4 linked regions of the Styela clava genome follow. The protein of the gene in region 1 interacts with the protein of each later gene in a pairwise test. Links are inferred from orthologs where the notes say so. Each region holds a gene or a part of one and is shown on either strand. Other genes may lie near its edges. The genes, in order: E3 ubiquitin-protein ligase NRDP1-like; homer protein homolog 2-like; iron-sulfur cluster assembly 2 homolog, mitochondrial-like; enolase-phosphatase E1-like.

What was found.
Region 2: the proteins of E3 ubiquitin-protein ligase NRDP1-like (region 1) and homer protein homolog 2-like interact in binary tests that used the Homo sapiens proteins (3 or more experiments, as listed by UniProt). The link is inferred for Styela clava from reciprocal best matches to the Homo sapiens genes RNF41 and HOMER2.
Region 3: the proteins of E3 ubiquitin-protein ligase NRDP1-like (region 1) and iron-sulfur cluster assembly 2 homolog, mitochondrial-like interact in binary tests that used the Homo sapiens proteins (3 or more experiments, as listed by UniProt). The link is inferred for Styela clava from reciprocal best matches to the Homo sapiens genes RNF41 and ISCA2.
Region 4: the proteins of E3 ubiquitin-protein ligase NRDP1-like (region 1) and enolase-phosphatase E1-like interact in binary tests that used the Homo sapiens proteins (3 or more experiments, as listed by UniProt). The link is inferred for Styela clava from reciprocal best matches to the Homo sapiens genes RNF41 and ENOPH1.

Annotation. Positions count from the first base shown.
Region 1 is NC_135254.1:24,427,168-24,434,020, reverse strand, and holds E3 ubiquitin-protein ligase NRDP1-like, read left to right. Parts: upstream 1-4,941; 5' UTR 4,942-5,022; coding exon 5,023-5,982; 3' UTR 5,983-6,332; downstream 6,333-6,853. UniProt on the Homo sapiens protein: Acts as E3 ubiquitin-protein ligase and regulates the degradation of target proteins. Polyubiquitinates MYD88. Negatively regulates MYD88-dependent production of pro-inflammatory cytokines.
Region 2 is NC_135252.1:13,246,982-13,254,964, reverse strand, and holds the start of homer protein homolog 2-like, read right to left. Parts: upstream 3,027-7,983; 5' UTR 2,875-3,026; coding exon 2,870-2,874; intron 2,419-2,869; coding exon 2,262-2,418; intron 1-2,261. UniProt on the Homo sapiens protein: Postsynaptic density scaffolding protein. Binds and cross-links cytoplasmic regions of GRM1, GRM5, ITPR1, DNM3, RYR1, RYR2, SHANK1 and SHANK3.
Region 3 is NC_135257.1:17,407,302-17,413,851, forward strand, and holds iron-sulfur cluster assembly 2 homolog, mitochondrial-like, read left to right. Parts: upstream 1-4,618; 5' UTR 4,619-4,725; coding exon 4,726-5,175; 3' UTR 5,176-6,036; downstream 6,037-6,550. UniProt on the Homo sapiens protein: Involved in the maturation of mitochondrial 4Fe-4S proteins functioning late in the iron-sulfur cluster assembly pathway. May be involved in the binding of an intermediate of Fe/S cluster assembly.
Region 4 is NC_135260.1:20,664,002-20,671,250, forward strand, and holds enolase-phosphatase E1-like, read left to right. Parts: upstream 1-4,424; 5' UTR 4,425-4,596; coding exon 4,597-4,654; intron 4,655-4,904; exon of another isoform or gene 4,905-4,994; intron 4,995-5,678; coding exon 5,679-6,532; 3' UTR 6,533-6,738; downstream 6,739-7,249. Other genes in the region: DNA replication complex GINS protein PSF3-like, read right to left, coding at 113-229, 597-715, 1,137-1,293; copper chaperone for superoxide dismutase-like, read right to left, coding at 7,173-7,249. UniProt on the Homo sapiens protein: Bifunctional enzyme that catalyzes the enolization of 2,3-diketo-5-methylthiopentyl-1-phosphate (DK-MTP-1-P) into the intermediate 2-hydroxy-3-keto-5-methylthiopentenyl-1-phosphate (HK-MTPenyl-1-P), which is then dephosphorylated to form the acireductone 1,2-dihydroxy-3-keto-5-methylthiopentene (DHK-MTPene).

The sequences.
Region 1 (6,853 bases):
ACCATTCGTGTTTTTTATACCAAGTTTCTGCGCAGAATGTACGCCGACGCTTTCCTTCGTCATGCGATTGTTCCAGTGAACAATTGGTTGATAAGGCCCAAGACGTTGTACCTCTAATTTTTGTTCCAGCGGCAGCTGCGAAAACGGAGTGCGAAGTAGTGCATCAACCTTATTCATTATGAGGTCTAAGGCTAAGAAATGCGAAGCCGGAAAGAAGTGAGGAGCTCAAAAGGAATGTGGAAAATCGAAAGCAAATGGACTAAAGGTTTCTAACTGATTCAAATAGCGAAACAAGCGACAAAAACGAAGGCGAGGAAACTATCAACTCTTCAAGCAACCAACGAACGAGAAGGAATGCGTGAATATGTCAACACGTTGTTGTAAGAAACGTCGGCATTGTGTCGTCATGATTTCGGGGCTAGCCCCGATGATTTAGTAAAAGAAACAGAAAACAAACGAGACAAACGCGGCGAGTGGAAGATAAAAGAGAGAATACGATATACAATGAGCAACCGGGGCAAAATCGGCGTCGCCCCGTCGACGTTCGGCGAAGGCTTTGCGAGCGAAAAATGAACCATGTCGGGACAATATGGCTAGTGTAGACAGTCTGTGCAACCGATATTGAGGTATTTTTCGAATATTTTTTATTATACCGAAAAAACAACCGGGGCATTGCCCCGGTTGGCCCTATTGACGCGCCGCCACTGCAAATTGGTGTACTGTGCGCATTCACAAATCTTTGCGAATCAAGTGTGCCTTTTGACTAAAGAAAATTTAGCATTGAAATGGTCAATCTCAATATCAACCTAGTATCTGCATATAAAACCAATTATATATTTGGTACCATGAATACCATTTGCAAATTAGCTTGGGTTACACAACTCTCAAATAAAGGGGTAGGCCTACCAATATAGTTTGTCATCTGCTTTCCATTAAAATGAAGGAGTTTATAAATATACTTAAGGAAAATTGATAACGGCACATTATCACTCACTATCAACGAAGTCTGGAAGACTTGTCCGCAAACAGTGAAACACAAGCGAGATGACTTCTGGACTTGACACCAAGCAGTCCTGCCAATAGATGATATCCACATTGCGCGACGTTCCGGATCTTTTGAAAACAGTGGAATATAACTGAAGATCCATTTCGAAAAATACGAAATAACCATTTTCAACAGCCAGACAAAACGGAAACGTATAATCCGACTTGCAACTGACAGGAGCCAAATGGACTTTTTTTTTTTTTGCCGTCCAGTAAACAAAGTCACGTGACCCGTGCAAGTCCTCTATAAACCTGTACTTTATATTCAGATGGGAGTTTGTTAGTCTAAAAGTCATTCGAGGGGGCTTTGCCAGAAAAAGTTTGGAAACACTTGTCCGCAGTTTACATTGATATCGAACAATTCGGGGATTGGGGACTTGCAAATTTCATCCCAAGTTGCAAATTTTACGAGTATTGACACTTACAAATTGATTTACATTTAAAAAAATGTAAAAATTACTTTTGATAAAAAAACAACGTGGCACTTGCAGTTACTAATAGCTAATTTGAGTCTGTGGGTCTATCTCAGTTTTTCTGGGACTAATTTTTTATTTATTTTTCAACTGAACTACTCTCATCGGAAGACATAATGACAATTAGAAAACACTTTATTTACAACTATTTTTTGGAAACAACTGAAAGCTGACAAATAATACGCGAAGCCGCGATAACGAGACATTGTTTACAACCATGTTTGAATCCGGTATCTGTCTGGTGCAACGACTAACATACGGGTCTGGTGAGTGAGTGAAGTCAATTGTTACGTCGTTGTTGACTTTTTGCTAATCAGCATGGTCATTGTTACAAAACCAAAACAAGGAAATCGATGCTTGGTGAAACGTTATCATTCTCTTTAGTGAAACAGCCAAGCTATTTTTCTCGTTGTAACCAAAGTGACGATCGCGATATCAGAAAGATCGCTGGCTTTGATAAATTATGTACATAGTTTTAATATTTCTTTACTAATTAAATACCTAATATCTGACCCCAAAGTTGTTCCGTTTGTAATTAGGTTTGTGCGCCGCTCGGCTGATATACATCTGTAATTTTTCCGCGTTTCTTGTTTTTTTTACATAAATTCCTTAATATCATGGCTCGGCTTACAGGCAAGCTTACGTCTGTACCGGTGTGGGCATGTGTTGTCTAGAACAGAAGTGTGCAACCTTTAATACAGAAGAGCCAGATACTTAACAAAGACTTTCTAGTAGTTGTAGGCAAAAAACATGATTATGTCATTGCTATGGCTCCCTGAACAAATTCAGTGAGAAATTTGCAAGTGGTTTCTTTTCGGAATCCTTTTTTTAAATTTGCTTTGAGGGGCTAGAAGCTAGCAGTTCCAAGTTCGTTTTTCAAGTAGGCTACCGGTATTAGTCCGTCAGAACGGATCAATAGGTGGGTTTCATGACAACCAATTTAGAAAATAACTGTTCACACTAATCTGATGACTAATATCAGAATATGTTGAGTCAAATACTGAAATAGTGCCGTTTTCAAAGCCATGAGTTCTTTAAATGTCAGAAGTGCAGAATGTGGTAAGTTATATTGGTTGGGATGTTTTCAGTAAAAATCGCCAAGATTCATTTGGAAATATTTTCTGACTTTGCTGTCAAATCTGTCTAATTTTAGACTAGATTCAGACAAATTTGACTGAAATGCTGAAACCAAAACTCATTTGAATTTAACTCCTGTTGCCCGTTTTTACTAATTTATTAGAGTGTGCTCTGTACTTTACTTAAATTTCTTGCTTGCTCATCGCTGCATCGGGTGACACATTCGTGAATCTCATTGTTTGCTTCGCGCAAGCTAGCTGTTATTGTCTACCTGTATACAGTACCGGTTAGGGCATTGGCAATGCACAGTTGTACTGTCATAAGCATAGATATTAATATATGAACTTCATAGCATAACAAACCAGAACCAGATTAAACCAAATTAAAAATTCGCTCGATGGGCCGAACACCATTTGAAATTGGCACTTATTCGCAGACTGCATCATTTTTCCTTGTGGCCCGCAGAGTTTGCACACCCCTGGTCCAGTCTGGTGCACATTAGAAGCGCCATAACCTATAATAATTGATGAGCTTATTATCTTCGACGTAGATGCTATTTTGAGTGATCATAGCTACACTTTGATGGGCTATATGACGTGGCGTTTAGTGCAGTAGTGACTTATTTTTTTGGATGACATAGTCAGGTGTTGGTTAGGAATATTATATATGTGAAAATGGTTATGACAAGCCCACTAGAAGTACTTGTGGTATCAAACTACACTAGACCCTTATCTTATGCAAGACTTGTCAGTTATTTAAATTGGTCGATTTGATAATAGGATCGGCTACAAGCCCTAGTCCATTATCCAAGCCCATTATCTAGCATGCATGCATCACAGTACTGTTACTGTGTTATGTCTGTATGTTGTTTACACCAATATCAGAATATGGAGAGGCAGCTGGACATACTGAGGGGATGTTTATGTATCATTATAATGTATGTCCTTAAGTCTGTTGTGAAGTATTTCATACTTGATTCCAAAACCAAATGATTAGACTATTGAAATACTTGCTAAATTAGGTAGCTATATATGATATCGTTAATTTTAATAATTTCTGACAACTGTGGTAAACTAACTAAAACAATCTATCCCAACTCAATATCCATCAGCATATACAACACTTCGGCTGGATTTTTTTAAACACGACCCAATTTTAGTTGGTTAGCGGTTAGCGCATTGTTTCCCAAACTTTTTGAGCTGCGGACCCCTGTTTTAGAATCTAATTTTTGACGGACCCCCCATTCTATGCCGTATCAATTCCTGTGCCTAACCAACGAGGAATGGTAGCGTTTCATATACATCACAATAACACTAACGATAATAAAGTGTTGGATGAGATTGCTTCCGACTGCACAATTTATCAATTGTTTTAGCAATTTATGATAAGCACACGTAAGTCCGACTCGACAGCAAGTCTCTACCTGCATTTTGTCATCGAATTGGTTAAGATGAAAACGCTGCCTCAAACCTGTAGGTTTGTTCTCTAATTGCCCTTTCTGGCAGCAATTTCTTGCGCAACGTTCCAACAAAAATATGCAATGGCTTTAAATCAGTGGTTGAAGATTGATCAGACTCTTAATATAGTCGCGGATCCCCTGTGCAGTCATCATGAACCCCCAGCAGATCCCAGTTTGGGGAACCCTGGGTTAGTGGTTATGATTTATTTTGACCGTCCACTGACATCTCTGGTACAAATCACACTTATAGTGTACAATTTCTTTAAAATTGGTTAGTTTTTTGCAAATTATCTCCCATGGCATTTAATTCAAAAGAATATATAACTCAATTGGTGGGGAAAATAATTCAAGTGCAAGTGCTAACGTTCTGACTTGACTTGATGCTTGGTGAATTGTCAAAAGTCAGCCGAGATGCGCGGTAAGCTCCGAAATCCCCTTTTGAGTTCCACAACATATTTGGCTCGAATTTGTTGGTTGACTACCGAGGTATACATATGTATCCAAATTTTGGATAGATTTGCAATGACTTATAAATAATAAGACAAATAATAAGCCATTGCACAGGGGTATTTTGAGCCACTGGAATGTCTTATTTGACTTCCATTCCACAAATAAGGTTGAAAACCACTGTAGTAAGATGCTGGTATATGTAATGGCGAGCTTAGACCAGATTGTAGTGAGGTTGAAGAGAGTATTCTATGGGAGCTTCTGTGAAACCTCGCTACAACTACCAAAGTGCTCGTCACCTTGTTTTGATGCCGATGCTTAATCCTTTGCATATCCAAAAACACCAATAGTGATAGTGAACCAATAGTGATAGGTCAAACTCCATGTGATCTTTAGTATTATCTATGTGTTCCCTCAGTGATCCCCTTTCTGTTTACATTTTTCTTTTTACCTCTACAGAGCATCAATATAATATAACAATGGACTTATTTTAAACGCCTGCTTTACAAAAGCACTGTCAAAATGGGATTTGATCTGATGAGGTTCAGTGGTAGAGTTGATGAAGAGTTAATGTGTGTGATATGTGGTGGCGTTCTTGAAGATCCTGTGATGGTGGAAGAATGTGAGCATTGTTTCTGCAAATGTTGTATAGAGGCTTGGTTGCAGAGACAACAAACATGTCCTGTAGATCGTAGTCAACTGCAAACCCAACATTTGAAACCTGTTCCAAGGATAATGAGGAATATGTTAGGTCGACTGACTCTGATGTGTGAAAATAGAAAGTATGGTTGTGCCACAATCGTACGTCTTGATCAGTTATTGTCACATCAAACTGAATGTGATTTTAATCCAAAAAAACCTATACAATGTACTCGTGGTTGTGGCGTAGTTGTTCCAAAAGACGAAATGTCTGACCACAATTGTATCAGAGAATTGCGTTGTCTTGTCAACAAACAAAAAATTGAGATCAATGATCTAAATTTGCATAAGGTTGAAGCTAATAAGCAAATATCTGAACTGAAACATGAAGTATCTCTTTTAAAAGAGTACATTAAAGCCTTGAAAATACCAACTAATCCAAGCTTACAAATCATACAGCAACGAATGGAGCAAGATGATGTCATACGGTGGGGCAGTTCACTTACACTTGCGAGGGTCACCCGCTGGGGTGGGGTGATTTCTACTCCAGATGTAGTTTTACAAACAGTTATTAAACGAGCTCTAATTGATACTCAATGCCCATTACACATTGTTAATGATTTGATGGAAAATGCACATGAGAGGAGATGGCCTGTTGGCTTGAGCACTCTAGAAACTAGACAACTCCACCGTCGTCAATACGAGGATTATGTCACAAAAAGAATTCCGGGAAAGCAGGCTATTGTGATTTTGCAATGTGAAAATAATCATATGGGAGACGATATGATTTTACATCCAGGAATTGTTATTATTTTTGCCCATGGTGTTGTGGACGTAACGTAAATATATGTGTTATTATTATTTTTTTCATTGGTCTTGTAGCGTTTTTCGCAATCAATAGTATTTCCAAAACACAGCTTCATTATTATCGGAATGAATTTAGTTCATATTGCTTATTTTCCCAAACGACTCGTAGTTTTTCTGATCACAATAATGTTGTTTTTATCTTGGTTGCAGAGAGTTGCATCTGATCGTTTTGCATCCGTTACGACGCCGTGCCATAGTAATGACGATTAATGTTATTCATTTACTGATTGATTCGTGTTAGCTTTAATGTCTCGCTGACTTTGTTACTTCTAATTTTTGCATCGTTTTAGTCAGTGGTAAGAAAATATATCGATGTTGTTATATTATAGTGTGCGGTTACAAATTATGCAGGGGCGATGTGGACCAAAACAGGTATGTGTGGATGTGGAGTACTATATTTTGAACGGGTGGAGGCTAACTCGCCATGAGGGCTAACTCGCCATGGACCACTCGCCATGCGACGGCGGTTAACGGGTTAGCCTGCAACTGTGCGGAGGCTCTTCTTGTAATGGGAGATGGAAAGGTGGCTGTTTATACTAACAACTTCAATAGTAAAGATAAATATATTAAATTAAATGTGTTTGGTTACAATATCTACTGTGCAAATGGTAACAAAGTGACAAGAAAACGTGCTTATATGTCGGAAGGCACCGTACCGTACGGTACTCGACGCGCAAAGGATGTCTCAACTTATCATTTTCATCTAAGCATGCTAAATATATCATCATATTAATTGATTGTATGAGCACTGAATCAACAACAACGCTAAATATATCAAAAGTTCTATTTTGCTACCGGCAGTCTCATTTTATTCCAACAGCCGTTGATTGCGATCAGAGAGGGAGAG
Region 2 (7,983 bases), on another chromosome or scaffold:
TTTAATTCCCCAGATATGCATATGCTAAGTTTAAAAAAATCTCATTTCATCACATTTTATAATAAATTGGTGTTTAAAGTTTAAAAATACCATTTTTCAATGAGATATTCCTAAAACTGGCAAAGTTTTGGCATACACCATTTAAATTTAAATTAAAATATTTCATTCAATAAGAATATTACAGTAACGGAACAGTACTTTACAGAAAGGCATCATATGCATTTTTTTTTCCAAATGAAATTCTTTGGCGTGCATGTTCATCCAATCGAAAATAGTTTTTTTGTACAAAAATAGCCAATTAAAGAGTACGAATTAAAATAGGCGAAACAAAATTAAGGACAAACTTAAAATTGTGAAGTTGATTTTGTTTATTTCCACAGTCAGATCATCTTGCGGAACGGATAAGTTGATGTTCCTAATCAGCACTTATTGTCCCAAGTATATGGATCAAATAACATAAAAACAGATGTATGAAGATTATCTTTATTAAGCTTCAACATTTCTTGTCTTGTGCAATATGCTATATATTTTGTTGAAGTGGCTTAATCTTTTAATAATATAAGGACGGTGACAAGACTAAGGTATAACATGATGATATCTAATGGATGAGTCGGGCATGTGGCGGAATCAGCATAGTATTATTCATTAATTATTCAATACATCTTCAGATAGTCGTGTGAACCTGTTTACAGCGGAATTAAAGTCGATTGTGAATTCAAGACAAGGTGCATACTTCTCTTTAAAAAATCAACACAATGTTAAATACATAAAATGAAAAATGGTTTGTTTGCTTTACCACAGACTTCTGACATTCTAATAATTTATTATCTCAAAATAAATACAAGCACTTAACCCAACTGTTCAGTCCAAATATTTTAAAGCAATTTGAATCTTTTCTCAAGTTTGTGTTATCACGAAACGGAGGGATGTAATTAACACTAGCATGGATGACCAAAATTCTTTCACTATTCTGAACACATTCTAAAGAAATATTTTTGAATGTGGTTATTGAATGTCATCATGCGTCCATTTATCAATGTGTTTGAATTTTTTAATAGAGGATAGTTGATATAAACAGTGATTTGATTTGTCTATTTATTCATAGCTTTCAGAAATTGAAGATTTCAATTGCTCAAAATTATAATTTATTGAATAAAAACATTTTTCTAAATATTGAATAAAATAATTACCGTATTTACTCGAAATTACGCCTATATCGAGAATAGGCCGACTCCCTAAAAACGGCCTTAAAACAGCGATTTTTTATAAAATCGCACATAAGCCGGTCCTACGAATCGTGACACGCCGAACACCTCAAGAAAAACGTAGAAAGAGAACAAAATTACTGTAACGCAAATATTTCTCACGTTTATCATTTCTGCGTGTTAGGGAGGGCCGTAGGTGGATTATTACCCGTAATTTATGTTAAACAAAGTCTTTATTGCTTTTCGGTGCGTCGTGATTGTGTCGGGAGTTTAAAATAGAGTTCCTGAATCAGCATAAAACAATTTCCTTTGATCGCCACAACGGCGATTAATTTCGTTCCTTGTCTGTTTCAAGGAAAGAAATAACGCTGTATTAACACATTCTTATAGATCGCTACGAATCTTAACACGCCAGACGCCTTTTGAAAGGCGCAGAAAGAAAACAAAATTGCTGTAACACAAATATTTCTCAAGTTTATCATTTCTGTTTGTTAGCGACGGCCGTAGATTCTTATTCGTAACTCTCACTTGTAAATTCATGTTAATAAAGTCCATATTGCTTTTCATGCGTCATGATTTGTATTAATGGAAGGGATTGTTGTCGGGAGTTTAAGAAAGTCCCTGAGTCAGCATAAAACAATTTCCTTTGATCGTCCACAACGCGGTTAATTTCGATAAGAGTCCTTATCACCGCCCCTTAACGAATAAAATATCGTAAAGTTATTCGGTCCCTTAGTTTGGCACCTTTTTTTTTTGAGTTTTAAACTCGGCCTATTTGCGATCATATATACGGTAATTACGAATCTATTATCCCTGATCACTGATGAATAGTTAGTGGCCTCGAAAATACATCCTGAATTAACAGGAGTTTAATGAAAACTATTTAGTTTAGGGTATCAATAGTATTTGTGTCAATGTTGATGGAATAAGCAAGTTTAAAATCAGTCAATAAGGAGATGGAATGGGTATAGATGGCTCATTCAATTGTTTTCCATGTAGGCCTACAGTATTTATATTTACTGGATATGGAATGTAGATTGTATGAAAACAACCCACCTTGGGTCCTTCAACTCCAATAATTCTGTATGTATTGCGAGCTGAATCGAAGAAGAAGTTGACTGGAATCGCATTCTTGCTTGCTGGAACCCAGGACTTCTTCGTCACTGGGTCAATCATGAAGACGTGAGCCTTTGTGGTATAGATTGGTACTTCCCTGAACACAAAGTTAGATATGATGAAAGGAAAACCGTGTGGACATTTATTGAACATGACTGCTTCAAATGTGGATTTTTTTTTTAACTTTTGAATTTTGATGCACTATAATATGCACCAAATTTATTGTAAAATCAAATTTCGATCATCCAAGTCTGGAAAATGAAAAGGCCTACTTTTAATATGAATATCACTGCATAACCATTTGACAGTTGAGTTGACAAATTGGGAATTTTTTTCAAACTTAAAAAATGTATTATAATATCCACCTAATTAATTGTAAAATCATTAATAAATTGCAATCTCACGGACAAATTTTGAATAAACAAATTCTTGAAAATGAATGAACTTTTTATTTGAATATCACTGCATAACTATTTGACAGTCATTAATTTTCTCATTCTGACATTCATGCCATGATAAAATTCTTACATTACACAAATTCCACCTACCCCATTGGAGTATCTTGGATTTGTTGTGGTATTCACCCAGCAAATTCAAATTCATCAATTTCTTTCATTATCAATTCACAGAATGATCAAAAATAGCACAACACGAAAGCCATCAGTCATAAAACCTACCATACAAGAAATAACACTACATAAAAACTGTGAAAATAACAAAAAACTCATAGGAATTACAAAAAAACTATTTCAATAATTTTTCATGATATACATTACAACATTATTACCAGATTAAATGAAGAGTAAATCTTTTACCAATACTCAGTAACTGAACATGATCCAACCAAATTTTAAATCATGACAAATATGAAACAAGGACTACCAATCAGCCACTATCGAAGAGGTACATATTTACATAATAAACATAATTATTTGGTATACTTTGGCATGATTCTCTGCAAATAGTTGTGGCCTCTATCTCAATAAATCATAATACAACAATAATATTGAATATTGAACTGTTTTATTTGAATTATAATATAAACACATTAATTATTAATAAGTTACCGGTAATTAATGTTGTATTCATATTGGGCGCATGTTCACTAAAAACGCCGTAAGTTTTCTATTTGGCGCGTCACAACCCCTTTTGCATATGTTATTCCTAACCACTGGCGTATTCGTATTCCTAGAAATAACATATGCAAAAATGGTTGCGCCACACCAACTAGAAGTACTTACATGATCATCGTGTTGTGAACATGGCCCCCATATTGAGATAACAGCGGTTAAAGCGCAGTAATCTTAATTTTAAAGTTTATTTCAATATTCAATACTTATTTCAATACTCCTTACTTTAATCAGGAACAATAGATAAATGTATATCTAGAATAATTTTTTATACACAATAATTTTAGACATAATATGCTGCATAGACTTTGATTATAAATGGTGAATTAGGCACGAAGTGAACAAAAAATGTATTTGAGGATTGGCTCTAGATAGATGCTAAAGATTTTTACCAAGACAAGTTAAATATATATTACCGCCACCGGTATTGCACTGATTTTGATATAACAAAGTATACAATTTTCACACTAACCACCGACAAATTGTAGCAATCATGTTCGTTCAAATTAAAAACTACTAAATGCTAAATTAATTTGCGGTTTCATTTGATAAATCACAATCTGATAACAGTATGCATATTATTGGGATCCGAAATAGCTTGATTATTTGCCTGCTGTAGGCGTGTTGCTCTTTCCTGTTCAAATATACTAAGACAGAAGAATATAACTTCTTTTGTGTCTTCTGGCAAAACAATGCCATCGTACCAACACTGAGACGCACCATAGAATGCTGTAGATTTATGCTTCAATGTTTCATACTCTGAGTACGAAATGTCAGAGTTACTGTTCCACAAAAATTCAGCACCCAATCTAACATTTGGCCACACAAAATGGAATCTTGCACCCATAGATAAAGAACACATCGGATGCATGTGAGGTGAGCCTACCAATCCTCCAACACTGATCACTATTTTTGGACAAGGACAAGTGGCAATACTTTGCATGAAGGAGGCCCTTGATTTGATAACAGAATTGCTGGTATCATTCACAGACAATGTTTCGTCATCACACAAATTTTGAAGAAATAAAACAGGAATTTGTCGAGCTCCACACAATTGCACAAAATTGGAGCCCTTTTTAGCAGCTTTGTCTGTTATGTAGCCATTATTCGCGATAACTCCAACTAAGATACCACTGACGAACATAAAACCAGTGACAAGTGAAGTACCATATTGTTCTTTGTATTCGTGAAATCCATCGTTATCTGCCAAACACTTAATGATCTCATGAGCATCAACACTATATTCTTTATTACCAGCAGCAAGTTTACATATTTCGGTTTTATCTTTTTCATAATAGAAATTCTCTCCCTTCACTTTTGTCAAATTACTTGTTGCTACGATATCCCGAACCCTTTTCAAACCTTCAATTTCGGTTTTGACAAAGTGGTCAGTGCAACCACTCAATCGAGAATGTAAATCTGCACCCCCCAATTCGTTTGGTGTCACTTTTTCACCAGTAGCTGCTTGTACCAACGGTGGACCGCCAAGAAATATAGTACCAATTTGATCAGCTATCACAGCTTCTTGAGCCATTGTTGGAATATAGGCGGCCCCAGCAGTACACGACCCACACACAAATGCGATCTGAGGTATGCCTTGTGAGGACATAACAGCTTGATTGTGAAATATTCTACCACCAGGATTAAAAATTTCAGATTGTAATGGTAGAAATGCACCTCCACTGTCCACAAGATAAATAGAAGCCAAATGATTTTCTTCAGCAATTTGATGGCATCTCAACTGCTTTTTGAGAGTTATAGGATAAATTGAACCACCTTTTACAGTTGCATCATTAGCAACAACCATGCACCATGTGTTGTGAATTTTACCAATAACAGTTACTACTCCAGCGCAAGCAATATTTCCATATTCCATATCATATCCAGCCAGTGTACCAATTTCTAGTACAGGTGAATTTGTATCCAAAATTTTCTTCAGTCTTTCACGAACAAGAATTTTTTTATTTCTTTCTACGTGCCGCTTTATTGCCTTTTCACCACCTCCTTGATAAGCAGTAGCCACAAGACTGTTATATTTGCCCCTCAATTTGTCAATATTTTTCAAATTGAAACTGTACATGTGCTTCATCATGCTACTATCAAAAGACTTTATTTTTGGAAGGGATTCTGAAATAGATTCTGACGAGTATTGGATTCTCAAACCATTTTGACTAATTGAATAAGAGTTTGAAGCAAGTTGTTTTCCAAACAAAGAACTGGAAAGGCTTCCTCGACAGATAAACAATGACTTATATATAGTCATCATTATTGATGCTGCTGATGGTGATTAAACAATAAAATTTATCTATAAAAAAAAAGGTCAAAAAGTGAAAATAGAGTAAAAATTCCATTCGCGTTGTTTTATTGGTAGAGCCTTTATTTTTGTAGTAAGTGAAATTAGCAATATTCTGAGAGAACAAAGTGCTTGTCAGCTTGTAAATATTGAAAAACTAGTCTATCGTACATCAATACTGTTTATTCCCGATTTCAGAGATCCTTCGTCTAAAAAACATGCATGAAAACAGTAAAAAATACAAAAACTGAATAGTGATAAACTCAAAATAAACTGAGATTCAAGATGTTAGCAAGCAAAAATGAACAGAGAAGAGTACTGAAGTACGAATGATACTTTTAGTTAGGTTATATATTCTTTTCGTATTTAGACCCATGGAACTGATACAACACAAAAACATTACCTGGATACTGGAACACAGGGCAATAAATAAAACTACAACAAACAAATTTCAGAGAAATCAAGATCCTGAGAGTAGAGTCTAGCCGAAGCGACAAAAAATTGATGTCAAAACTGCCTGGATAACGCCTAACAAAAATGTGATGTGAAATTTTCATTTTTTCGACGAAATTATTAAAAATTAAGGATGTATAAAAATTGTCACATTACATTTTTGTTTGACATTATTTAAGCAGTTATAGCATTTATTTTCACATCACATTTTTATTTGGCTTCATTCAGCAGTTAGGATTTTTCAGTTTTTACTTCAATAGAACCAAAACTGCCAGGTTGTACAGTCAGGATAGTATTTACATATTTATCTATAGGGAGAGGAAAGCCGATAAGACAGCTTGACCATATGGCGAACCACGGCCTCTCGTCCGGTTATCATCCCATTTTGGGTATGGGACTAGTCAGTTATTTGTTTTCCGGAAGCATGGATTTGATGGTGGAGGAAGCTGAACCGACCAGCGGTTACGTGAACCACCCTACGGCGGCGAAGAGTCCAGCAATCCTCTCACACATAACCAATCCCCGCTTGGGATTCGGTAAAATTAACCAATACCTTTAAATCAATCAATGACATGGAACACTGCAAGAGAGAAAGATTTATTTCGTCTATCAGAAAAAAACAGTCACACCAATAAAAAATAAGGCTAAAAAATACACTTTTCTCAGTATAGACTGGCAGACTGGAGGGTTTCGTACCTAACATACTTCTAGTAGGCGTAGCATAACAATCTTTTGACATGACAATCCTAACCCTCACCTGACTACGCCATCCAAAAATTACAACACTACGACGACACAATCACGTCATAGAGCTTGCCAAATACTCGTACGATCGCCCGAAATGACATCGGCGCCGACGATAAAGAACTGACTAACGTCAGCGATGTCTCTCCTATAGGGATCGTTGCGACGAGAGAAATGGCTGTTCGGGTTCTCGTCTGGGGTTCTAGTATAGTACCACAAGTACTTCCAGTGGGCGTAGCATAACGAATTTTGCATATGTTATTCCGAACGCCCACCTGACTATGTCATCCAAAAATTACGTCACTATGACGTCACCATCACGTCATAGGGATTACCAAAGTATAATTACAATCGCCCGAAATGACATCTGAGCCGCCGATAACGAACTTGCTAAAGCCGGCGATCTCTCTCCTATCGTGATCGTTGTGACGAGAAAACGAGAGAAATTGCCTGCTCGATTTCGGGTGATCGACTGCGTGTTTTGGACGACCATCCGCATACTTCGGTGGGCCTTATTACGCCACTGCAGCACTGTGACGTCGAAATGAGGTTATTTTTCGGTGACGTAGTCAGGTGGGGGTTAGGATTGACATATGCAAAAATTGTTGAGCCAGGTAAACTAGAAGTACATGTGGTACTAAACTATACCAGACCCCTCGTCTGCACATCTTGGATGACAGTTCGCATAGTTTGAAGGGCTCTATTACTGTATTACGTCACTGTGACGTCGTAGTGACGTAATTTTTGGATGGTGAGGTCAGGTGGGGGTTAGAACTGACACGTGAAAAAATCTACGCTATTTCTACGCCTACTAGAAGTAAGTTAGGTACGAAACTACACGAGACCCAATATGGCTATCTAATACTGTCTGACTGTATTCCAGTATTAGAAGTAGTTAAAGTTCTTGAAACAAAATTTGAAAACAAACAAACAAATCTGTATCAGACAACACTACTTACCGGTACCGTACGAGAGGCGGACGACTCATCTACTAAATAAACTTCTGACCTTATTGAATCTCAAATCACCATGCAATGCCTTT
Region 3 (6,550 bases), on another chromosome or scaffold:
TTGATCTCATTCGAGCTTGCAAATTTCTGCTTTTCTAGCGACCACCCTGTATATTTCAAATGTGGCATCCAATGATATCCAGCGAATCTAGAATTCAACAAACTAATTTAAAAGGTTCCACCGAATAGCACATAGCCGTATAATTATCATTTCATATTTACATAAACATTTAAAAGATTCTCCGTAACATTTCGAGTGCAATTTTCGGATTGGACTCATTTCTTTCAAAACCTTTTGCTCATTTCGACTTTGTACATTCTTAGATGCATCAGATGGAATATATACGAATGGGTATGGGTGGGACTAAGGGTGGCACTAAGGCAGGGTCGACCAACCCATGGCCTGTGTGACCCGTGTGTGATCACATGTGACCCGCTGAAGGTTTCCGAGTGGCCCGCGCGATATTATTCGAATCCCAATGTTTTTCATAAATCTGAGCCATTATTGAAACCTCTAATAAAAAGTTATTCCTCGTCGTTTAAACGCGCGAGAAGCACCGCCCAGCTATCGAAAGCTATTTTTATGTCTCTTTGTGGGCGTAGTTGCTGGAGAGAGATGTTTGAATTTATTTTTATCGTATGCCATGTATTTCAATCTGATTCCCTGTCTTTTTTCTGCGAAGCTAAAAGAGGCAGTTTTCATGACCTCAATATTCGACAGTAGTTACTTGTGCGAGCAAGTTTTTTCACAGATGATCCATGTCGAATCCCCCTGAGATCACTAATTTCGCTAATGAAAAATTCGCTCTGCATTGCTACCTCGTCCATCGCACCGAATATTGACAAACTTATTGGATGAAAGCGGTGTCATACTTGACATTGAAATATATATGCGTAGTAAAAACTTTTGACTTTACTGTATCTTCGTATTTTCATTGTGCTTATAATTTTGGTTTGCGGGTTTTGTTTGGTTTTCATTAATCTGCAGTCGGCGTAGTAAAAACTAGAACATAACCACCATGTCAAGTGGCCCGCGCGATCATTCGTGAACTAAATGTGTCCCTTCGGCCAAAAAGGTTGGACCACCCTGCACTAAAGAATGCGTTTCACTTACTTAACATCTTCTGAATAGCGTTTCATCTCTTAAAGACATTCTCTTAGAATTCGGTTTCTAACTAAAAGAATGAAAAACCAGTGTCAATTACATTCTAACATGGGTATTTTTACTGATATTTTACATGATGCTTGTAGACCTTATTCATACAAAAACATTTAAGCTTAATTTTGATATGATTACTTTTTTTATACCTACTTTGTTGCTCCGAACTTTAACACTCGAACAACTTGACTATTGCAGTGACGTTTTAATGCCCCCATATAGACGTTACTTCGAGTCATTCACCATTTACATATTTTAAGTAACCAATGACATACACTCACATGAAAACCTTATTTTATTATTTTAGTCATCAATCAAAAATGTCAAATTCGTTAATATCATAATTGAACAAGCAAGTAATTTGTCTGAATTTATATCTAGGTATATTTAATTATTGCTTATAGCATCCCAAACGCTTGCCAACTAAATTATTCTTCCATTAAAAGTTATTGATGGTCTCGGACAAACCTACAATTTATCACATCTAAAGCTCTTGTTATTCAAGTTATAAATATTGAGTGGTACTGGTAACTGATCTTGATGTCCACACGATCGTATTGATACCAGTTGCTGTACAGTCTATACCGAGATTTTGTTGCTTACAATTATATTTTGTCGTTTTATTGTTTTCTGTTTGACAAAACAAATAAACTTTCCGCTTAAAATATGATAAATCTTTTACTATTTCGAGATGTTCAAGACTTCAAGAGCAAAACGTCATAATATATCAAACATACCTTCACATTAAAAATGTTAGTCAAATTAATAATCGAAAAAATTTGAAACAAACTAAGAATTATTTACAATGTTTAGTTAAATTTAATTAGCTGATTTTGATTTAATTTAAATTTGGCATACGACTCGATCCCTCTGCATAGAGAGATTTCGTTAATTTTAGTCCCCCTATGCAGAGTGATCCCAGTCGTACGTCAAATTTAAATTGAATCACGATCACTTTGCACGATGACATAAATCATGTTTTTTTCATGTCATTTTTATGCATAATTAAATAAAATATAATAATAGAAATAGGAAAAAAATTGTTTGACACTATTTGAGGACACGGAAATTTTCTTAAAAAAATTCAACCAACTGTAAAATATTCTGTTATTCGTTTTTCATATCTTGTTTTGAAGCTCCCGACGAACACAAACGTATTTCAGGCAACATTGTACAACAAGATAATAAATATGCAGATGTATTTCATAACGTTGGCCTCCGAACTATGCCTCCGTTTTTGATTTTTATTGAATGTTACATCTAGGACTCGAAGTTCCGAGAGATTGTTCCTTTGAGCGTTGACTGTTTTTACAATACGGCGTGCTCTTTTCCAAAATTTTGCTCCGTGATCGGTTCCTCATTCATGCAATAAAACACCAGATGCATGCACCATTTCATAAATGAAGGTTTGTCATCGCCGATTTCATAAATAATTTCTATTTAATTCTATATTCCCTAGCGTCACTACCGGTATACTCTCACATCTTTATTTAGGTTGATAGTAATTAACAGAGGCTCAATTGCCACAATAAACATATAAATACTCGGCGAATTTCTGATTCTTGATTTCATCCAGCTCGCTGTTTTACGGTAACTTGACACGCTGAGTGATATTTTGCCATCTACATTCTGACACGCCTCGACCGTATTTCGTCACCCCTAACTTGACTCGACGACCCTATTTCGTCACCGCCAATTTGACACGCAATGACCGCATTTCGTCAGCCCTATTTTGACACCCCCAATATGACTACTATTTAAAACTAATTTCAACTATCATTTATATTTATTTTTCCTAAAATTACCAAAAAAATACGTCATGTTTGGTATTATATATGGCCAGTACAAAACGTGCTGCTACTATTCTGACATAATGAAATCGAATCTATGAGAGTACTTCTTTTACCCCAATTTGTCGTTATGCTGGCGGTTTTCGTGAAATTGCCCATCCAAAACTGTAATATTTCGAAATTTCCCAAAGAATCCACGAGGGGGCGTAAAATGTTTTTACCTATTTTATTCTCTCCGATACCCGATTTAAATATATTAGACGTTTATTATCGTGTATTAGAATCTAAAAAAAGATAATTGTTCAATTATTTAGTGAGTTTAGTGGAAGTATAAAACCAATTTTAACCATGATTTATATATATTTTAACTATGATTTATATATATTTTCTCTAAAATTACCAAAAAATGCACTATGTTTGGTATTATAAATGACCAGTTCAAAACGTGCTTCTACTATTCTGTCATCATGAAATCGAATCTATAAGGTTTCTTCTTTTCCCCCAATATGTCGTTATGCTGGCTTTATTGGAGGTTTTCGGGAAATCGCCCATTCAAAACTGTAACATTTCGAAATTTCCCAAAGAATCCACGAGGGGCGTAAAATGTTTTTACCTATTTTATTTTCTCCGATACCCGATTTAAATGTATTAGACGTTTATTATCGTGTATTAAAAACTAAAAAAGATAATAGTTTGATTATTTAGTGGAAATACAAAACCAATTTTAACTATGATTTATATATATTATTCCTAAAATTAACGAAAAATACGCTATGTTTGGTATTATATATGGCCAGTTCAAAACGTGCTGCTACTATTCTCTCATGATGAATTCGAATCTATGAGGTTTCTTCTTTTCTCCCAATATGTCTTTTTTCTGGCTTTATTGGAAGTTTTCGAGAAATACCTGCCCCAAATCGAGTCAATATTGAAATTCAGTCAATTTTAAAGAACCCTTTAATACAGCTTGGAATTTGAAATTGGGACATTTACAGTTGTTTTAGTGTGTTAATATATATTAAAAAAATGAATAGTGTGATGACTAATTGTTTTACCTTAATTGCTATCGGTAAATCACTCAAAATATACACTTCCCAGCACAAAATGATTGGGAACATTTGATTTTACGTGTAGGAATTTTCTGCGATTCTGTCAGCTCCAATTTCGTGACTTTCTGCTAACTTCACAGAGGTTTCGAGAGTATTGTATACAACAAACAATCACGCATATTTACGATTGTTTTTTCTTGTGTGAATGTGAATAGGGTAAGATTTTCGTATATATCCGATGGGTCTCTAAGATTGGACACCTGCAATCATGACACTCACTTTCGATCTGTATAGTCGAGGTAGCCCTTGTAATCATTCGACCGCAGGGACTTGCATGAAATCATAGGGTATAATACAACTAAATGGAAATGTGCCAAGAATGGTTGTATCAGTTAAGGTTAAGATAGTTTATTTTGAACATATAAAGTATCTGTTTTTTTTATTGCAGTATCATGGTATTCAAAACTCAGTGCTGCAAGAGTACCGGTACGGTATTAAGATTGAGCACAAACAGATGTGTTTAGGATGTTATAATATATTCTGTATATTTGTGCATCAAATGTAGTATTTTTAAAAGTAGTGTAAACCAAATATCTGAGAGGCGATTAAAATTACAAGACAGGAACCACCTATCTGTCACCACTCTTGACTATTTATCATTCTTGTATAGTTTTAAATCTGTAAATAAATAATTTACCATTTCTAGTGCTGGTGAACTTGATGATATACCTTGGTTAAGTCAAGATAAAAACAACTTTATAAAAGTCTCGAATATACTCAAATGCACCATGTCTACTGTTACGACAGTTGGGAGAATTTTCACACGTTTGATGCCATCTATATCTCATATTTCATCATCACACACAGTGTGTCGATGTCTGTCTCAAAATGCTCAAACAAAGCCTTTGAACAATGCTGACCTTATTCTGACAGAATCTTGTGTTGAACACCTAAAGAAATTTTCTAAACAAGGAGAGTTTCTCAGAGTATCAGTGGAAGGTGGTGGGTGCTCTGGATTCTCATATAAATTTGATCTCGATACAACGAAAGAAGCAGATGACAGAACGTTTACAAGAGATGGAGTTGAAGTTGTAACAGACTCTGATTCTCTTGATCTTATTAAGGGATCTAAAATTGACTACCAAACTGAAATTATAAAATCTGCATTCAGAGTTATTGATAACCCACAGTCGGGTACTAGCTGCTCCTGCGGAGTTTCATTTTCAGTTGATTTATAGTATTTTATATTGTTTAATGCTTCATACAACTATTGAATGTATTCATGTTATAATTTTTTTAAATCATATTTACTGTGACTCCCCTATTATGAGTAAAATTGCGTTTTGTACAGGCTCAAAGTTTGAGTCTTATAGTTGCACCCTCGTGTTGAGTAGACCAATAGAAGCTTCCTACCCAGAAAGTTCAGGTTAAATGGTCTTAAGTGCCAAATCTCAACCTGCCTTTGTTGGGTTTCTTGAAAAACTGTTCGCTATGCCAACCATTATCTGATAACACACAAAAATGTGTCATAGCTGTATTATTTATTTTTTGTTCACTAAAGGTAATACACACAAATCAAAGTATTCACACGAAATCTGCATGATTTGGTTCAATGTCACCGTAACGATTTCACTTCTTGATGACTATTCTCACAATTTTGTAAATCAGTTCCATTGTACTTCTTAAATAAAGACGTTTTTCTCTTAAGCAATTACTGGTGTAAATTCAGAACTTGGATATATATTATTATACCATAAATGTTTGTTAATAGCTTCTGCATTTTTGTTTTTACAAGATTTACAGAAATATATTATAAAGAGTTTCGGAATCAATTTCATTTGGCAGGTTTGAAAATATACACCTTTATTTATAATATTGTTGAGAAAAGAATATCAGACACAGCATGCATAAACCAATGTCCTCTAGGTGTATCAGTTTAAATTTGTAACTTTTGAATGGAAGTCTCAAATATTACAATTTTTTTAATTCATGATGTTTCCATTGTTCCAATTTGTTATTCAGCCCCTCCATCATGAAGGTGCATTAAAGAAAGGGCATTTGAATATCAACTTTGGAATAGAATGCGATAGAATAATTTTGTTTGCCTATTTTATATCAAGTTGTGTAAAGGGACTGAAACCTATGGGCAGGGGGAGTCCTCGAACTCTAATCGGAATAAAATTGTGGCCCTTTGTACACTTCGGGAGTACCGAATTTGCTAACCAACCACTTTAGTGTCCATACACAGGTGATAAGGCCAAGTGTAGGTAACACTCACAATAGTTAATCAAGGAATGTTTTGGCAGATTAAAACTCCCATGCAGTCTGGACAGCATCATTTTGTGGCGGTGGCAAGGCCTATGAATTTATCAAGCTGCGGGTAGGGCAATATACAGATTTTACCCATCATCACAAAACTTTCTAACAATTGTACACGGTTCTATATATTTTGTACAAAGCATCAACGCTTCATTTCTAATATCAGGTAAGAAAAGAATAAATATAGAATGACAATGAGTGCAATGCATGATTAAAATAAAAACACTACAGATAAAAGGTAAAAACTAGCGAAATTAGATTTCAGTAAAATGACGGGATGATCATGGGAATCAA
Region 4 (7,249 bases), on another chromosome or scaffold:
TTTGATCCCTTTCACAGTTGCTTTACTAAAATCATCTTTCGAGAGGAATATGTGAAACACCTCCTAATGTAACAATAATCCTGTGCCTAAGAAAAGAACATGAATAAGTTACCTGAACTAGACTTCTTGCAACAAACACAGATTCATCTGCATTAAAAACCAGCATTTGTTGTCCCATTGCATAATAATATGGACCGAGTTTATGTAGATCTACAACTGATGCATCAGCCTATGTTGTTGAATGTAAAGAGAAATAACCAAACAGGGAATGAACAGAGCCACATGCAAAATATGAGGAGAGAATGCAGCAAAACCAAACATAGCACACACAAGGTTCATAAATTAAATAAAATATTATTTGACAAATTTTTGTGTTTATTAAATGAGGGACCACGACTATGGCTGGAAAAGGCTAATAACAGAGAAGTGAACTATAAAAGAAGTGAAAATTGAGCTTCAATAGTTAGCCCGCTAATCAGCTTGTTACCATACCCATATTCCTATATAAATATTCAATATGAATTGTTGTTTGTACAATATACACATAATACCTTCTGTCTACAAAAATTTCATTAGAATATTAGTTTTCAAAATACCTTCAGAATTTCTCTATAAACTTCTCTGTAAGGTTTTGTTATTTCTACAGATACAAGTTTTCTTTTAGGATTTGCTCCAAGTGATGATGCAAGCCATAATGGCAAATCCATCTTTGTACCTGAAGATTAGCTTTGCATTATCAGAATGTGTGAACCAGGAATTATACTACACGGTTTATATAATAATACATGTAGCTAGTGGATAGCCAGACAAACTCAATGGTATTTTGTTAAATTTAAATAATGCATTTCACAACATTCGAGCTAGCTGGCATACTCGTAAGAGAATGAACCTTCATAAGTGATATGCACCAGTGGAAAAAATAGGTTCAACTTAATCTATTAAAATTGGATTAAATGCGAGAGAAATAGGTCCATCCCGAATGACTAACGTAGATAGAGATTTATGTAACAGCCTGAACAGTGGCTTCTTAAAAAAAAGTGTGATGAAACTTCATAAAAACAGTCCTGTAATTTAAAATTGGAATTATGTAAAATTTGCATACTGCAACAATACATAATATTCAACTGCTGCAATACCTTCGGTTATGTCCTTTTTACCACTTCCTGGATCCAGAAAACCCAAACCAAACACTGGCAAAAGAAAGCTACATGGAACTTTTTCACTTGACATTAAAATATCATCAATACTAAAATAGTTTTGCTTCAAGCTTCCGCTCGGAGGAGCACAATCCATAAGTATAATTAGTAATTATAGGTATATTATCTATAGACAAAAGTTTAATAACATATTATTCGCTCATTGGAAACTTTATCTACTTGGTCCTTTAACCATGCAGTGAATATGATGGCCAGTATAATTCAAATGAATAACCAACTCCTGAACTCTGTTAGAAATTACAGAACATCTGGTTCAGGCTTGTACAGCAGTTGTAAACAAGGATTCATCAATGGCATCAGCCTAACGAGGCACGATTATGTTTCAATATTTATGTACAGATAATTCTGTAATTTAAGTACGTTTAAACTATGCATGTATGTACGGTACTTCCATCGGGTATAATATAGATTTAGTTGGGACTCCTGATTGACTCCGGGCAACCGAAAATATTCCCACATTATTAGTAGTATTTCTGTATTTAATAATTGATGTAATCTGGACTACAATTTGGCAATATTTTGGCATGTTTTTGGCTAATGAAAAGGTTTAGCCTACCTCTTCATGCACTCAACTTTGGTTGGGCAACTTGGCACTTGACTCCAATTATAATCAGCTTAGCGAAATCATTTTTTTGTCCTTATATTAAATACTGTTCACTCTTGTTTGGATATTTTTATAAAATTATAAAAATGGTGTGGCAAACAATCCTTATTATTTTTTACATTTCATCTTTTATTCTAATTTGTTTTTTATGTGTTTATTTATTTTTTTTTGGTTACCATATAATTTATCTAAAGCTTCTTTCTTTTTACTTATCGATCTTAAGATCGGAAAGTATGTTGATGGGTATTTGTCTGATAGACACAAGCGATATCTCACGAAAAAGAGAATGAATCCGCTCCGAATTTTGCATATGCATTCATCATATCTCGGATCAGAAGCCTATAGATTTTGAATGAGTTATGTCGTATAATTAGCGAGTTATTAATTAATTAGTGATGGGACACAAGGTGGCACTATGGAGAAAGAGCGCTGTTTTGGGGGATCGCCTAACTTACTATTGATAAATCATGGGTCTCTGACCGATATTCTCGTTTCTAATTTTATTAATGCCCTATGGTTGTGTGCGTGTGTGAATGATTTTATTTTTTTTTTCTTAGGTGAGTGAACACGTACCACTTCTTTTTGGCAATCCATCTTACAGTCTTATATTCTGTACGTTTTAAAACTTGTCCACGGATTTGTTTACTCTCCTGATTTCTGGATTTCATAATCAGTTTTTAATAATTTGTTTTTATCAAACATCTTATCGCCTTTTTGCTGATTATGGAGTCGTTATATAGACTACTCCCGATCCGATCCTGTTTGTTGAAAACCAGGCCCGGAATCCTGTTTTTCGGAGTCCTGGACCCGAATTCTGTTTGTGCTCAACACCCTCAATGCTCAACCATGGTTAACACTAGTGTGGGTGCAGATTTCAGGAATCGAAGTTGCACCGACCCTTGACCCCTGAAAAAACTTTTAAAATTTTAAACGCTTAGCGCGTATAATAAAAATCACAACAAAATGGTAGCCAAAGTTTGGATAAAATGTGGAGTTGATGGAATTGCAGAGAATTTTTGAGGTTCATGCGTAAAAGTAAAGTGTAACTTAGAAAAAGACAAATCTTGGGTGTATAATGAATCTTGCTATCCACTTGGCTGTTAAACTTGCGAAAAAATGTTGATGGAAGCTGGGAAAAATTTCATGAATGAAAAGCTTTCGGGTCAACTAAGAAGGGGATTCATAAATATGCAATCGCTTCACACGATCATAGTTCAGGTTCAGTGTGGTGCAACATGCTAAGCGTTAGGAATGTTATTCTGCGTGGGTAGGCAGTTCCGAAATCCGTGGGAGATAACCATGTGCGAGAGGATTGCTGGACTCTTCGCCGCCGTAGGGTGGTTCACGTAACTGCGGGTCGGTTACAGCTTCTTCCATCATCAAGTCCAAGCATCTGAAATAACTGGCTAATTACCCGACATACTGTCGCTGCTCTCATCACTGGGCTTATCATTTCCATCATCTAGCAATTGGGGGCCTGCGCAAAGTGGAAAAGAATGTAAGTAGCCGTTCGGGAACTCAGTCCCACAATACTTTCAGGTAATATGCATCTACATCTAACACTCCTTAATAGGATCACTTATTTCTGCCATGTCTTCAGTTTCAACTTATCTGCTAAAAATGATTTCTTATTTGTGCATTATGAAACTGACGCTACCGTCAAATAGGTTCAGTAGGAGAATTTTCACCTTAAATTTATAATACGCCCTCAGGCATAATAGATGTTCATTTGGTTCCCAGGATAGCTTAGTTCGTACCCTTCTCCATTGTCAAGACCGTTTTTAATGCCCAAATCTTTCAGTTACTTTATTTAACAACACTTTTGATGTTTATTACTTATATTCACTATTCATCTTCAAAAAGATACCTATCAATGCACTGTTTATGAATATACACCAAAATCTGCATGCGTATTAACATATTATGTAAATCACAAGTTCTTGTATAAGATTTTATATATATATATTCTTGTATATAGACACACCCTTTTGAATACAACCGTGCCAAATTGAATTGCATGAGCAGCAAATGCCTTTGTGTGAAGTCTGTTTTTGCCTGCTCCAGTTTGTGCAGTAGTAACGATTGTAGAAATACGGGTGCCACGCATGAGGAGAGATGATAATATTAATATTGAGTTATGGTTTTAACTTTCATGAAGTTTGATATCCTCCTAACCAATTAGAATACTGATATACTTTCGTGAATATGAGGAATATTGAACTGGCTGTTGTTTTAGTATTTTTAATTACACATGCCTTTGCTTTGTACTCATTTTGTGTTCTTTTTATCTTGGAATTATGTTTAATTTTGCCACGTAATTTCAACATTGCTATATAATTATTTTTGTTAGTTTTACGAAATAATACGCCATAATATTCTATTCTATGTATATCGGCTGTAGGGATAGGCATTGCTAATTGGAGCTAAGATCTGAAGCCCGACCCAAAATTCGGGCCGGAAATGTCAATCATTACGTTCGAATCGGATCTGGCTTCTCAATCGCTGACTTTTTTTTTAAATGAGGCGTTTTGACCACGAAAGATCATGGTCTGCAAAAAACAGAAGTTACCTCATCAACATGACACATACTGTACAAAACTCTTGCAATGACTATTCAATGAACGCCTAAATTAAATATGAAATTTCAGGCTTGGGTTGCAAATCCAGTTAATTAGACGGGCTCGGGTCGGGTTTAATACCCACGGGCCTGGGTCGGGGCGGAATTTTTGGGCCCGATCTTACTTCTATAGCTAATTACTTAGTCACCGCACAAAGATGGAAAGAAAAGAAATTATGACGTCAGATTCATTTACAGAACTAATTGTGACACCAGGTGATATAAATGCTAACCCCTCCCTCAAAAAAAACATTTGTTTTTTTGTTTTTTTTCAACTTCATTTTGCGAGTTATTCTTGCTTTCCAGGTATTTCTGCATCTTGTTTTTCTGTTTATTTTTTGTGTTGTTCTCTTTTTTGTCAGAATACCGAAATAAAATGATGATGAGCCACCAGACCATAAAATTGTCAGGGTATTCCCCACTTCAGCTACATTGATGGCAATAACAGTTTGGGGAATATTTGAGGGGGCGTCGGTCGGTAGGTATAGGCGTATAGCCATGTGGGGTGAAGTGTTGGGCATTGAGAACTAATGGAATATATGATAAAGAACATTAGGTACAATAAATCAATTAGAATTAACACACATAAGGTTTATAATAATGAATAGTGTTACTTGATGACTGAATGTAACCTACAGTCCTACACTTCAACTGTAACTGGCTGACCGATGTGGTAACGTATGTTGTGCTGATGAAGATAGGATATGATGTACATACCGGTAGTTATCCTGGTTACCCATATAATTGAAAGGAAAGCGTTTTCAAGTCCATTGGCATCTAAGCAGATTGTTGCCATGCCAAAAACTAAATGACTGGAATTTCTAATGTAATTAGAGGTTGAAAATTAATAAAGACAAATTTCTTAGCATAAATATAAATGCTGAAAGGAGCAATCATAACATCGATTTGGCAAAATATAACTGGTTTCAAAACACTGATGATGAAAATACAATGACAAGACGCATCATTTTTAACAGCCACGCTATTTAGACACATTAAGGACGAAATGCTTAGGTTCCTACTGCTCACAGGAACAGTTTAACCAGAGCTATGCAATTATAACATTTAGGACTGTAACACAATTTGAAATGGTTGTTACATTTTCTGCTAAATTTGTTAATTCAATTTTTATCCCTGCTAACATTAATAATCGATTTTGTAGCTTGAAACTGAAATACCACACAATAGTTTGCAGAAATCTCTAACAGTCAAACTTCCTTTTCTTTTGGTTCCATTACAGAATTTTATGCAATAATGAAGTTGAGCACAAAAGGAAAATCATTGCAAGAGTTTGTTGAAACTGATATTAAAGCAATTGTTGTGGACATTGAAGGAACCACTACACCAATAACATTTGTCACTGAAGTCCTGTTCCCATACATCAAAGAAAACATAAAGACATACTTGACCAAAAACTGGAATGAAAAAGAACTCTTAGATGATTATGAAGCTCTAAGAGCTTTGGCAGAGTCTGATAGACAATCGGAAATTGAAGATGTACCTTTAATACCATCACATGATGAAAAAGGTGCTCAAGAATCTGTGGTGAAAAACATTTTGTGGCAAATGTCTAAAGACAGAAAGTCGACAGCCTTGAAACAGTTGCAAGGCCACATGTGGCAGTCTGCTTACGCAGATGGACTTATCAAGGGTGATGTTTATGAGGATGTGCCGAGTACTTTGAAATCCCTAAAGACTGACGGAAAATCGCTTTTTGTTTATTCTTCTGGAAGTATAAAGGCACAAAAACTACTTTTTGGACATAGCAATAGGGGTGACCTTTGCCCACTATTTAGTGGATATTTTGACACAAATGTTGGCGCGAAGAAAGAAGCGTCGAGTTACATTAAGATATCAGATTCAATAGGCGAGAACCCAGAAAATATTATATTCTTGACAGATGTCCTTGCTGAAGCAGAGGCAGCAACAACAGCTGAAATGAATGCTTGTATTGTGCTACGTCCAGGAAACTACCCCATCTTAAAAGATGATCTGGAAAGATTTACAACAATAAAATCGTTCTCTGAACTTGTATTCACAGAGGAAGATATTCCAGAAAAGCGTCAGAAAGTTGACGAGTCCCTCAAGAAATAAAACTACGGTACTTAGTAATCAGTGATTGGTATTCCTAAACCTTGGGAAGCATGTGTCTTTGCATATTCTTGGTAATGTTTTGCTGATCCCAGTATTGGACAGCAAAATACTACTGATTGGCGCATATTCCCTTTTAAGCTAATAATTAGCATGCAGGCATATTTTACATAAATCCCAACTTAAATAACATTTTATTTAGGAAATAATTGGTTTGTGCATTATGTGGTGAAATTCATAAAGTTAAAAAAATATTGAAAAGATCTGTTTATCATTAAATCAACCATCCATTGAAGGAGTCCAAGAAATTATCAAGTTGCTAGTTTGGGCTTAGCAGTTATAATACAAAACATATATCTCTCTCTGGAAATCTCTGATAAAGGAAAGATTTAGCTAGCTTGTGAACCTTTTGTTGCAAAATTCTGCCCAGTGTCGAGTATTGAAATTCTAAGCATAGAGTAATTCCCTTGAAAAAGAAATTTGGAATGTCTTCGGATCCAGGACCCTATGTATGATGTAATAATAATCCAGTAAAATGAACTGATTCCATTTGAAGAATGATGATCTTGCAGTGGTAGTGATTAGACAAGACCCAGCAGGATGGAAATATTTCATTTGCCAGATGGAGCCTTACTTCTTCATCTCAAGGCTGCGAGAATTCAGTACGCACCTTACCAACATTAGGAACATGTCTTTCATCCCATATTGAGATACCATCAC